2 linked regions of the Arabidopsis thaliana genome follow. The protein of the gene in region 2 interacts with the protein of the main gene of each other region in a biochemical or structural test. Each region holds a gene or a part of one and is shown on either strand. Other genes may lie near its edges.

Region 1 (4,823 bases), on a different chromosome or scaffold from region 2:
CTTGGAAACTTGTTACAAGGTCCCAAACTGACCCCTTTGAAGGAATGCCTCTGCATCTGAAAGAGAAGATTCTCATGAAATTGAAGGCCAAAATCATATCGACGTTCATCCTCCTTTCCAAGTCCTGGTCATCGATAGTCCTTAACAAAGATTTCACCAACATGTATTTGATAATAAAGTTCTTTGAATCTTTGAATCGACCACGTCTTCTTTTGGCAGTCGACGATCGAGAAATAAATATGCAGTTCTTCCACTCTTGCTCTCGAGAGGATCCATCTTCTGATCATCAAACGGTTGGCTGTTACCCTGATTCGTATCCGCGTATCTGGTATGACTTTTCTCCACCTGTTCGTGGCTTGATCTGCTGTCTAAACAATTCTACTAAAGTGGTAATTGGAAATCCTACTACTTGTCAATTTGAAACTTTACCGAGAGTCAGAACCAAAATATACCAAGAAATATTTCCCTTCTTTGGATACGATCATGTTAAGGATGAATACAAAGTCTTGTGCATGACGATATCGGATGAGTACTATAGTAGATCAGGAAATATTGTGTCCAAGGAGCATAAAGTTTTCACTCTAGGATGTAAACAGAAGAAATGGAGAATGATCGAATGTACGATTAATCATTATCTTACTCCTGGAACTCAAGGAATATTTAGCAATGGGGTTATCTATTACTTCGCTAGGGTCAATGATGATCAGTCGCTAATGTGCTTTGTTGTGGGGTCTGAAAAGTTTAGTGTCGTTGAGTTACCGAGGCCGGCCGTCGAAGTTCTAGCGAACTACGGCGAAAAGATAGCTGTAACGAATTTGTTATATGCTAGTAATGATAGACTTTTTGTATGGATTCTAGAAGATGCCAGCAAACAAGAATGGTCAAACTTTTGTGTCTTGGTTCCTTCTTGGGTAGATATATAGATTTCGACCATTCAGCTTCACGGGTATACTTGGAACCGGCGAGCTTATATTTACACCGGGCTTAAAGCGTGGCCCCTTCTATTTACTGTGTTACGATCTCAAGGAACACACAGCTAGAAAAATCTGCTTCAAAAGAATTGGTTATTATACTTCTTTGAAAGTCTTTTTGGATCATGTAGAGAATCCTATGGTTCTGCCAAAGATAAGGCAATCGGTTGGTGATGAGTTCTTTGGTGTTGCATGAACTAATCTCTCTTCTTTCTTTTCTTATTTTTCAAGTTTCAATTAAGTGGTCGGATATTATTTGTTTAAGACTAGTTCTTATTGGATTTGATGGTCACCCATTGGTTAGTCTTTTGATCAATGGATATTTATGTCTGTGGAATATTGTAATGCAATGTTTTTTTTCTCAACATCTTTGGAATGCAATGTTTATGACTTAACAAGAAAAATGTTTATGACTTGATTATAATAATCTCTGGTTTTGTGCGGAGCTTATACAGCTTCGGTTTTCTTCTTATTTGATTTCTTTTGGGGAGAACAAAGAGTTTTGTGTTTGGCTAGATGGATCTTTATCATCATTTTGGTCGCCTTTTGAATTTTATTTCATAAAGAAATCTTATGTATAAGAAAATAAAACTAATATCGATTCTGAAATAGCAAAAATACCTCAATATTTTCACTAAATCATAAAACGAACTACATTCATCATACAACACATTGTAACATTTCACCATTAATTTCTTAACCCAAGCAACAAGCCAATAAGTAGATAGTTTTTGTTTGACTAAACATACACACGTGTTCGGAGTTTGATGTACACGCGCTGACTGCGCGTGGATGTAATATAATCTTAATTCTTAAGTATATTCGTCGACGTTGCCTTGTTCCAAAGTTATAAACCGTGTGGAACCATCGAGAAGCGAAGCCAGAATAAATTTTCGAATCCTCCGACGATGACGGAATCAACATCCGTGGTTGCTCCTCCGCCGGAGATACCTAATCTGAACCCTAGCATGTTTTCTGAGTCCGATTTGTTTTCTATTCCGCCGCTAGATCCTCTTTTCCTATCTGATTCTGATCCGATTTCAATGGATGCGCCAATCTCCGATCTCGACTTCTTACTCGACGATGAGAACGGAGATTTCGCTGATTTTGATTTCTCGTTTGATAATTCTGATGATTTCTTCGATTTCGATTTATCGGAGCCCGCGGTGGTGATCCCTGAGGAGATCGGTAACAATCGTTCGAATTTGGACTCATCGGAAAACAGAAGCGGCGATGGAGGTTTAGAAGGAAGATCTGAGTCTGTTCATTCACAGGTTTCATCTCAAGGCTCCAAGACTTTTGTGTCCGACACCGTTGACGCATCATCCTCCCCTGAATCAAGCAATCACCAGAAATCTTCTGTTAGCAAGAGGAAGAAGGAAAATGGAGACTCCAGTGGCGAATTAAGGAGCTGCAAGTACCAAAAGTCCGATGATAAATCAGTCGCTACGAACAACGAAGGTGATGATGACGACGACAAGAGGAAGTTGATAAGGCAGATTAGGAACCGTGAAAGTGCTCAGCTTTCGAGGTTGAGGAAGAAGCAACAAACTGAGGAGCTTGAAAGAAAAGTGAAGAGTATGAATGCTACCATTGCTGAATTGAATGGTAAGATTGCTTATGTTATGGCTGAGAATGTCGCTTTAAGGCAACAAATGGCTGTTGCTTCTGGTGCTCCTCCTATGAATCCTTATATGGCTGCCCCGCCTTTACCGTATCAATGGATGCCGTATCCGCCGTATCCTGTTAGGGGATATGGATCACAGACACCTTTGGTTCCCATTCCTAAGTTAAATCCTAAGCCTGTCTCGAGTTGTAGACCGAAGAAGGCAGAGAGTAAGAAGAATGAGGGTAAAAGTAAGCTCAAGAAGGTTGCTAGTATTAGTTTTATTGGAATTCTCTTCTTTGTCTTCTTGTTTGGTACATTGGTTCCTTTTATGAATGTAAATTTTGGAGGAGAACGTGGAAGCTTTGGCGGTTTGTCTAAATATGATGGCCACCGGTATTACGATGAACATAAGGGGAGGGTTTTAATGGTCGGCGATGGTTCTGATGTTAGAAGAAATAGTGGAATTTCTGAAGGAAATATCCATTCTAGTAGGATTAGTCATGGTGAGAGAGATAGTTGTGGAGGAGTAGATTATAATGCTCATCCGAAAGTAGAAGGACGACCAAGTTCGTTGAGCAATGCCAGTGATCCTCTCTTTGCTTCTCTCTATGTCCCAAGAAACGATGGGCTTGTGAAGATCGATGGGAACTTGATAATTCACTCTGTTTTGGCGAGCGAGAAAGCAAGGGGTTTAGGAAAGAAGAATATCACTGAAACAGTAAAAACTAAAGAACCGGATTTGACCATTCCTGGTGCACTGTCTTCTGCATTAGCTGTTCCGGGGGTAAGAGGAAATGCAGCAATGCTTCCGCATTCAACAGCTCTCTCTTCTGAAGGGAAAAGACTTCACCAATGGTTTCATGAAGGTGGCTCAGGTAATTCTTGTTCTCTATGTAGTTTCTACTAAATGGAGTGATCTGGATTTTCAACTCTACATTGCATTCTCTTGCAGGGCCACTAATGGATTACAGCATGTGCACCGAGGTTTTCCAGTTTGATATTGCTCCTGGTGCTATAGTCCCGTCATCAGTCTCCAGCATTTCTGCGGAGCATCTCCAAAATGTCACTACCCACGGCAAGAGAATGAAGAACAGGAGAATCCTTGAGGGACTTCCTGTTTCACTTGTGGCGTCAGAGCTCAATATCACCGGAACCCAGCCAAACAAAGACGCTCAAAATAAGACCTTTAATGGAAACACTAACAAACCCACATCATCATCCTCCATGGTTGTCTCAGTGTTACTTGATCCAAGAGAGGTCGTTGACTCTGAAACCGACAGAGTGGTTCCCCCAAACCCAAAATCACTTTCCCGGATCTTTGTGGTGGTGCTTCTTGACAGTGTCAAGTACGTTACCTACTCATGCGTTCTTCCTCGATCGGGTCTCCATCTCGTAGCCACCTGATTTGAGCTACTCAGATCTTGACCTTAAGTAGGCGAACATTGACTTGTTTATACATACAGACCTTGTTGACTTTTTTTCCCTGTGTTGTATAACTCTTATGTTCTAAGGTTTTGGATTTTAATTTTGAGATAAGCATAAAGTGGAATCCTTGTTTTAAAGGCATTTCCAATAGCTTTAGGCTGTATAATACATCCGATGGTTGCAGAACTTTTCTAATTTAGAAGATATAATATACAAAAGAAGCTCTTAGAGCATATATATTCAATTGGGACTTAAGTAGAAGGCTGCACCCTTTTGTGCAGCATCATTCTATAACAACTCTTCCGGTTCTGTATCTAGTTTCCATATGAATTCATTTTATACATTTAAAAGTTTTGAGTACTCTGTCGATACAGTTTACTAGACATGTTAATGTCGTTATTCATGAAGCCAGGCCACTATCAGCATGAGAAGGACAATCCATGGCATAGCTGGTAAAACCTCAATCGCTGCTGCCAAACACAGAAAGAAGAAGGCATTTGATTAGAATTGGGAGTCTATGATTTGATATATCTTTGCTAAATTGGAAGACTTTAAGTAGCAACTTACATGAAGAGGACTGCGGTTGAGGATGAGCAACTTCGTTTGCATGTGGTTCCCGTGGTTCCGTTATGGGTGGTTGAGCTGCATGGGCAAACACCACATGTGGTAGAGGGGCAGAGATTGGAACTATATGAGACTTGGCTGCAGAAATTGGGGCCGGTGAGTGCAGCTGATGATGTGGTGCCCCAGCAGAAGGAGCAGGCGCAGGTGTGGATGAAAACTGCACGCGTTTCTCCTTGAAATGTACTCTATTCCCT
Region 2 (4,838 bases):
CATATATTTCAATATGTCAGATGTCACTCTCTTCAAACTTGATAAACTGTTTGTAGCCCGTTGTGTAAGGAAAAAAAAAAGAAAAGAGAGATACTATCATTCTGACTAATGAGATTTGTTTAGCATGAGGATGGTATCTATCAGAGATACATATATTGGAGAAAAAAGATAAGCATGGCTACATTATCAGATTACAAGTGATGCATGCATGAACCCCTAAGAGAGAGTCTACCAACGAACCACCGTAAATATATCAAATAAGGCACTTCGTTTGCTAACATAGCTTCAGAAGAAACTGTGTTATGGAAATCAAATAAACAGAAGATGGTATGGAGATTTGTTACCTGGCTGGCAGTAGAACACTGGTCCTTGCTTGATAGCACCAGTGACGCAAATCTATAATCTGTGCAGCACAAGAACAGAACAGACCAGGCATATTTGACTTTTATCACTAAGTGCCATGAAATCTCCTCTTTTAGCATATAGTTGATAGGGAATAGAATCAAAACTAACAAAAGTAACCTCCCAAAGGCGTTTGTTGAACAGATAGAGAACAAACAACGAGATACTTAAAACCTTAAAAGTGTAAAACCAAGCAAAAATGGTAAATTTTCAACTTTGGGAACCCAAATATAAGCTCCCAGAAATATTACATAGTAAGGAAAAAAAATACACAAACAATCAATAACTTTAAACAAATATGGCTAATCCAGTTGTAAAATCAGAAAAAACCAGTCTGATTATTTTAGAGTAGACATGTACAGAACTCATTTGTTGTTCATTTGCTACCCTATGACTGTTACAACTAAACTCATCCAAATCTGAACCAAGAACTAGTTTGGGAAAACTGTGTTAAAATGTCAAGAATACGCCTGCTGGTTCTGCCTAACTCTTCATATCCTCAGAACCATTAGTTTCAAGTCTACCATTAAATCCATGATATGGAACCTCCCACATCGGCCTCGGGGTAGCACGCCCACCAAAATCCTCAGGGAAAAACTCAAAACTGGGGCCAAAATTGAACTTCACAAGACAATTTGACTGGTCGGGAAGAGTGTACATCGAAGCAGCAGGGTAGTAACGACCGCCAACAATATCTGTGAAGGCCGCTCCCTGACATACACCATTTTTGAAGAACGATATTTCACTGCCTGCATCAGAAGTAAAGGTATCGTTAACGAAAGATTGGTCATTAATCTTCCAGAATTGCACAGATACCATCTACATCATAGATGTGGAGGGTAGCAAAAACAAAACTAAGGCATTTATCTTTATGAAGAATCTCCACTATCTATTCTCTACCAAACCATGATAAAGCTACCATCACAAGCAACAACATTCATACACATTTTTAGTCTACTTAAAACATATGCGACTACCAAAAAGCAGAAAAGTCACCCCACAAGAACACGAAAATTAAAGAACAGGTGACGCATGACATACCTGGTACAACTTTAGGAGGCTCCTCTTTAGCATCAGGTGCACAAATATATCTCTGCCCTTTATAAAACACATAATGAGGAGGCTTTGGAGCAAAAGATTCACCATCAGGAAGATTTATGTAGAATCCAATAACATCACCTTCCTTGTACCCTTCCTCAGCATATGTCTCCCTTAAAGCCTTATGTATCTTACACCCATCAATATCCCTAAACCCAAAACTATTCCCATCATACCCAACTGGAGCCTGCAAATCCCCTTTATCAGTCGACCACCCGAGTCGTGTATGACCAGTCTCACCTAAACTCAAAACTTTAATCTCAAAGTACCAAGCTCCTTCAACAACTCCTCTTGTAGCTCTCACCATCCTATACCCTTTACTACTTCCTGCAGTAAGTCTATCTTCACTTATCTCAACTTTCTCAGCTTTGTATACTTTAGAAAGGCAAATTTCCAAGTCAGGTGTATCGTCTCCCTTATCGGGAAATCTAGGCACCGGAGTTATCAATACCTTATCTTCTACAGCTGCTGGATTCGGCGTGTTGGCTTTACTCTTCTTCTTTCCCTTACGTGTGCTCTTAGTCACCCATACATTATTGTTCTTCTTCTTCGATTTAGATTTCTTAGCCGCACTCGCAACCAGAGTCGCCGCTTCCTCCACAACCATAGCTTCCGATGGAAGCACTTGCTCTGGCTCCTCCTCTTCCTTAACAGCGACTGAAGTAAGACAATCTAGCTGCTTAAGCTTCTTATGCGGTGGATCATCTTGCTCTTCATCTCCTTCGTCTTCTTCCATTGCGCTACCGTTCTGATTAGCCACAGAATCCAGTTTCGGAGATTTAGGGTTATCGGAGGAAGAAGTAGTCGGAGCTTCTTCAGAGAATGAATCGGATTCAATTTTCAAATCGGATCCGGGTTGATCAACATCCATAGCTACTACATCTAATTTCTCTAAATCAGTATCGATTGGTTCTTCAATTATACCGGACGATTCCAATGGCGCTAAATCATTCTCTTCAGAAGGAAGAAGAGCGGTTCCGGTGGTAGTTCCTTCGAGAAGAGAAATTGATACTTCTGCTTCTGAAGCAGTTTCGATTGATTCTTCGACAGCATCGGATGATTCCGGCGGCGCTGAATCGTCCACCAGTTCGGAGGGAAGAAGAACTCCGGTAGGTTCTTCGGGAAGCGATACTGAGACTTGTGCTTCTTCAATTTTGGGATTTTGTTCAGCTTCTTCAATTTTGGAATTTGATTGAAGAGACTCCATTGAAACAGAAGTTTTTTTTGATGCAGCCAGTTTGTGGCACTCGCCGACTTGCAAATTTTTGAGAGACTGGCGGATGGCAGAGAAACAGTGAATTATTTTTTTTAAATGTTAGAGACTTATGTGGGCTTTATGAGGCCCAGTAAGAAACTAGGGTTTGGATAAGGGGTGTCCATGTTTTCTTAGTAGTTTAGTCCATTTAAAAATAAAAACGGTTTATGCATCTAACAATAGATTATTTGGCTTTCTCATATATTTTTTTCTAAACTTTTATACTATTATTTGGAAAGTACTATTATATAGAACATTTGAAAATAGTTTTACTTGATATTTTTAAAGAATGTCATCAATACTTAATAGATCAAAAAGTTAAAAAATTATAAGTACTCTAATTTGATCTTTTTATAATAGATATATTTATAATTGGTGGTGGTTAAATATAATGTATAATACGATGGAATGAGTTATTATCCTTATTCTTTACTAAAATTTGTTTATCCTATCGCTTGCATAAAAATATACATACTAATAAAAACTTCCGATTACTTATAAATTGAGCCAAAAACCAAATGCAAGTATTAAAACAACCACAAAATTTCAAAGAAGTAGGCATACGTCGTACAAAAAGTTCACAGCCTTCTTTATTTCTAAAGACGAGGTATTCTAGTCATCCAACATCTATTCAATCCCAATTTTCCAGGGAACCTATTCGGAATAACTCTTCTTTTGCTGGATTATTACCAATATAATCATAAAACAAAATTTTCAGGAATTTTAGCTCAAGCTTCTCGTAAAATATTAATAAAATCGATTTTTTTATTGTAATAAACTTAAAAATTAATTTCATATTATTTAAAATTATTAATTAGTTGAGAAAGGTCAAAACATGAGATTCATTGATGCATTGTATGGTGATTATGGGAAGGAAGTCACTGAAATTATTAAGAAGGATCCTAGTCTTGATTTAGCAAAACAAAAAAAAGGATCATGGTCGTGCATTGCCTACAATGATGAAGAAGAAGCAAGAAGAATGGAGTACATGCCTTGCTGAATTCAAGGAGGTATGGACTGAGATATATATGAAGAATTTTATCAAATTAATCCCTTGATCACAAAACATATGACAAGGAGAGCAAAGCTCGAGTGGTTAAGAAGGCTGAGAGAAAAGAAGGTTGAGGTTAAAGCACTTTCTGATTCCTCAATGCATGATGTGAAAGATTTAGAGATCTCAATGGACAAAAAGAGCTTTCTGTATATTCATGAGTTACGATTTTCAAGTATTTAATTAGATTACAAAGTCATATCTTAAAGAATCTATCAAAACTATCTATATATAAACAACTTTAACTCGAAAGATATGGAACAACTTCTTGTTCTGTTTATTGTGGAACATATCGCATTATCTGTTAATATGATGACAACTCTGAATCCTTTAATTCCTGTCGTGCGCATATTGTAATTGTTATATCATATTTTGGGGAACACAGAGATTTATGATTATTATTTTTTCAAGTGATACACGCACTCAATGCCCTCTTAGCATGCACTTTGTTGTGGTCCACTTTTCTTCCACGTTATATTTGTACGAATTTACCGCTTAACTTTTAACCAATGAAAGTTGTATTGGATCTCTCCTAAACCACATATATACGTGATATCATGTAACCACATATTATATATCTAATCATAGCTTATACATGACAGAGAATGGGGGATGGTGATGACCTCCATAATTATAGAAGTTTAATTAAATCATTAATCAAACACTAACATACTCAATTTATCAAACGTGATCCACACATTAATTACGAAAATATTTTTATAACTATTTATATTTAATTTTCGACTTAAGTCGTTGTGGGTTTAAAATTATCATCGTTAACCTTCCCAAGAACTTGTTGAAGATGATGAGCGATATCCTCCGGTCCGTGAGGTTCAAGCAGTGGTCGGTCCGGAAGAACCCACTGTCCATCGCCGTTCTTGACCATACCTTTGTTCTCATCTTGTCTCCAACAAGGCGGCACATGGTACTCACCTCTCAAGAAATCACAACTCTTATTCACTAAAGCTATGTCTCGCTTTGTCACCAAACAAAATCTCTTCTCTGCTTCTTCGTCTTTTCCATGATAACCAT

What was found.
Region 1: the proteins of TRO (region 2) and BZIP28 form a complex in vitro, tested with the Arabidopsis thaliana proteins (one study listed by BioGRID).

The regions. Positions count from the first base shown.
Region 1 is NC_003074.8:3,377,447-3,382,269, forward strand, and holds BZIP28 (Basic-leucine zipper (bZIP) transcription factor family protein), read left to right. Parts: upstream 1-1,721; 5' UTR 1,722-1,879; coding exon 1,880-3,455; intron 3,456-3,532; coding exon 3,533-3,984; 3' UTR 3,985-4,175; downstream 4,176-4,823. Other genes in the region: AT3G10790 (F-box associated ubiquitination effector family protein), read left to right, coding at 1-923; AT3G10810 (zinc finger (C3HC4-type RING finger) family protein), read right to left, coding at 4,402-4,475, 4,573-4,823.
Region 2 is NC_003070.9:19,072,268-19,077,105, reverse strand, and holds TRO (TRAUCO), read right to left. Parts: upstream 2,779-4,838; 5' UTR 2,708-2,778; coding exon 1,444-2,707; intron 1,152-1,443; coding exon 886-1,151; 3' UTR 561-885; downstream 1-560. Other genes in the region: AT1G51440 (alpha/beta-Hydrolases superfamily protein), read right to left, coding at 4,552-4,838.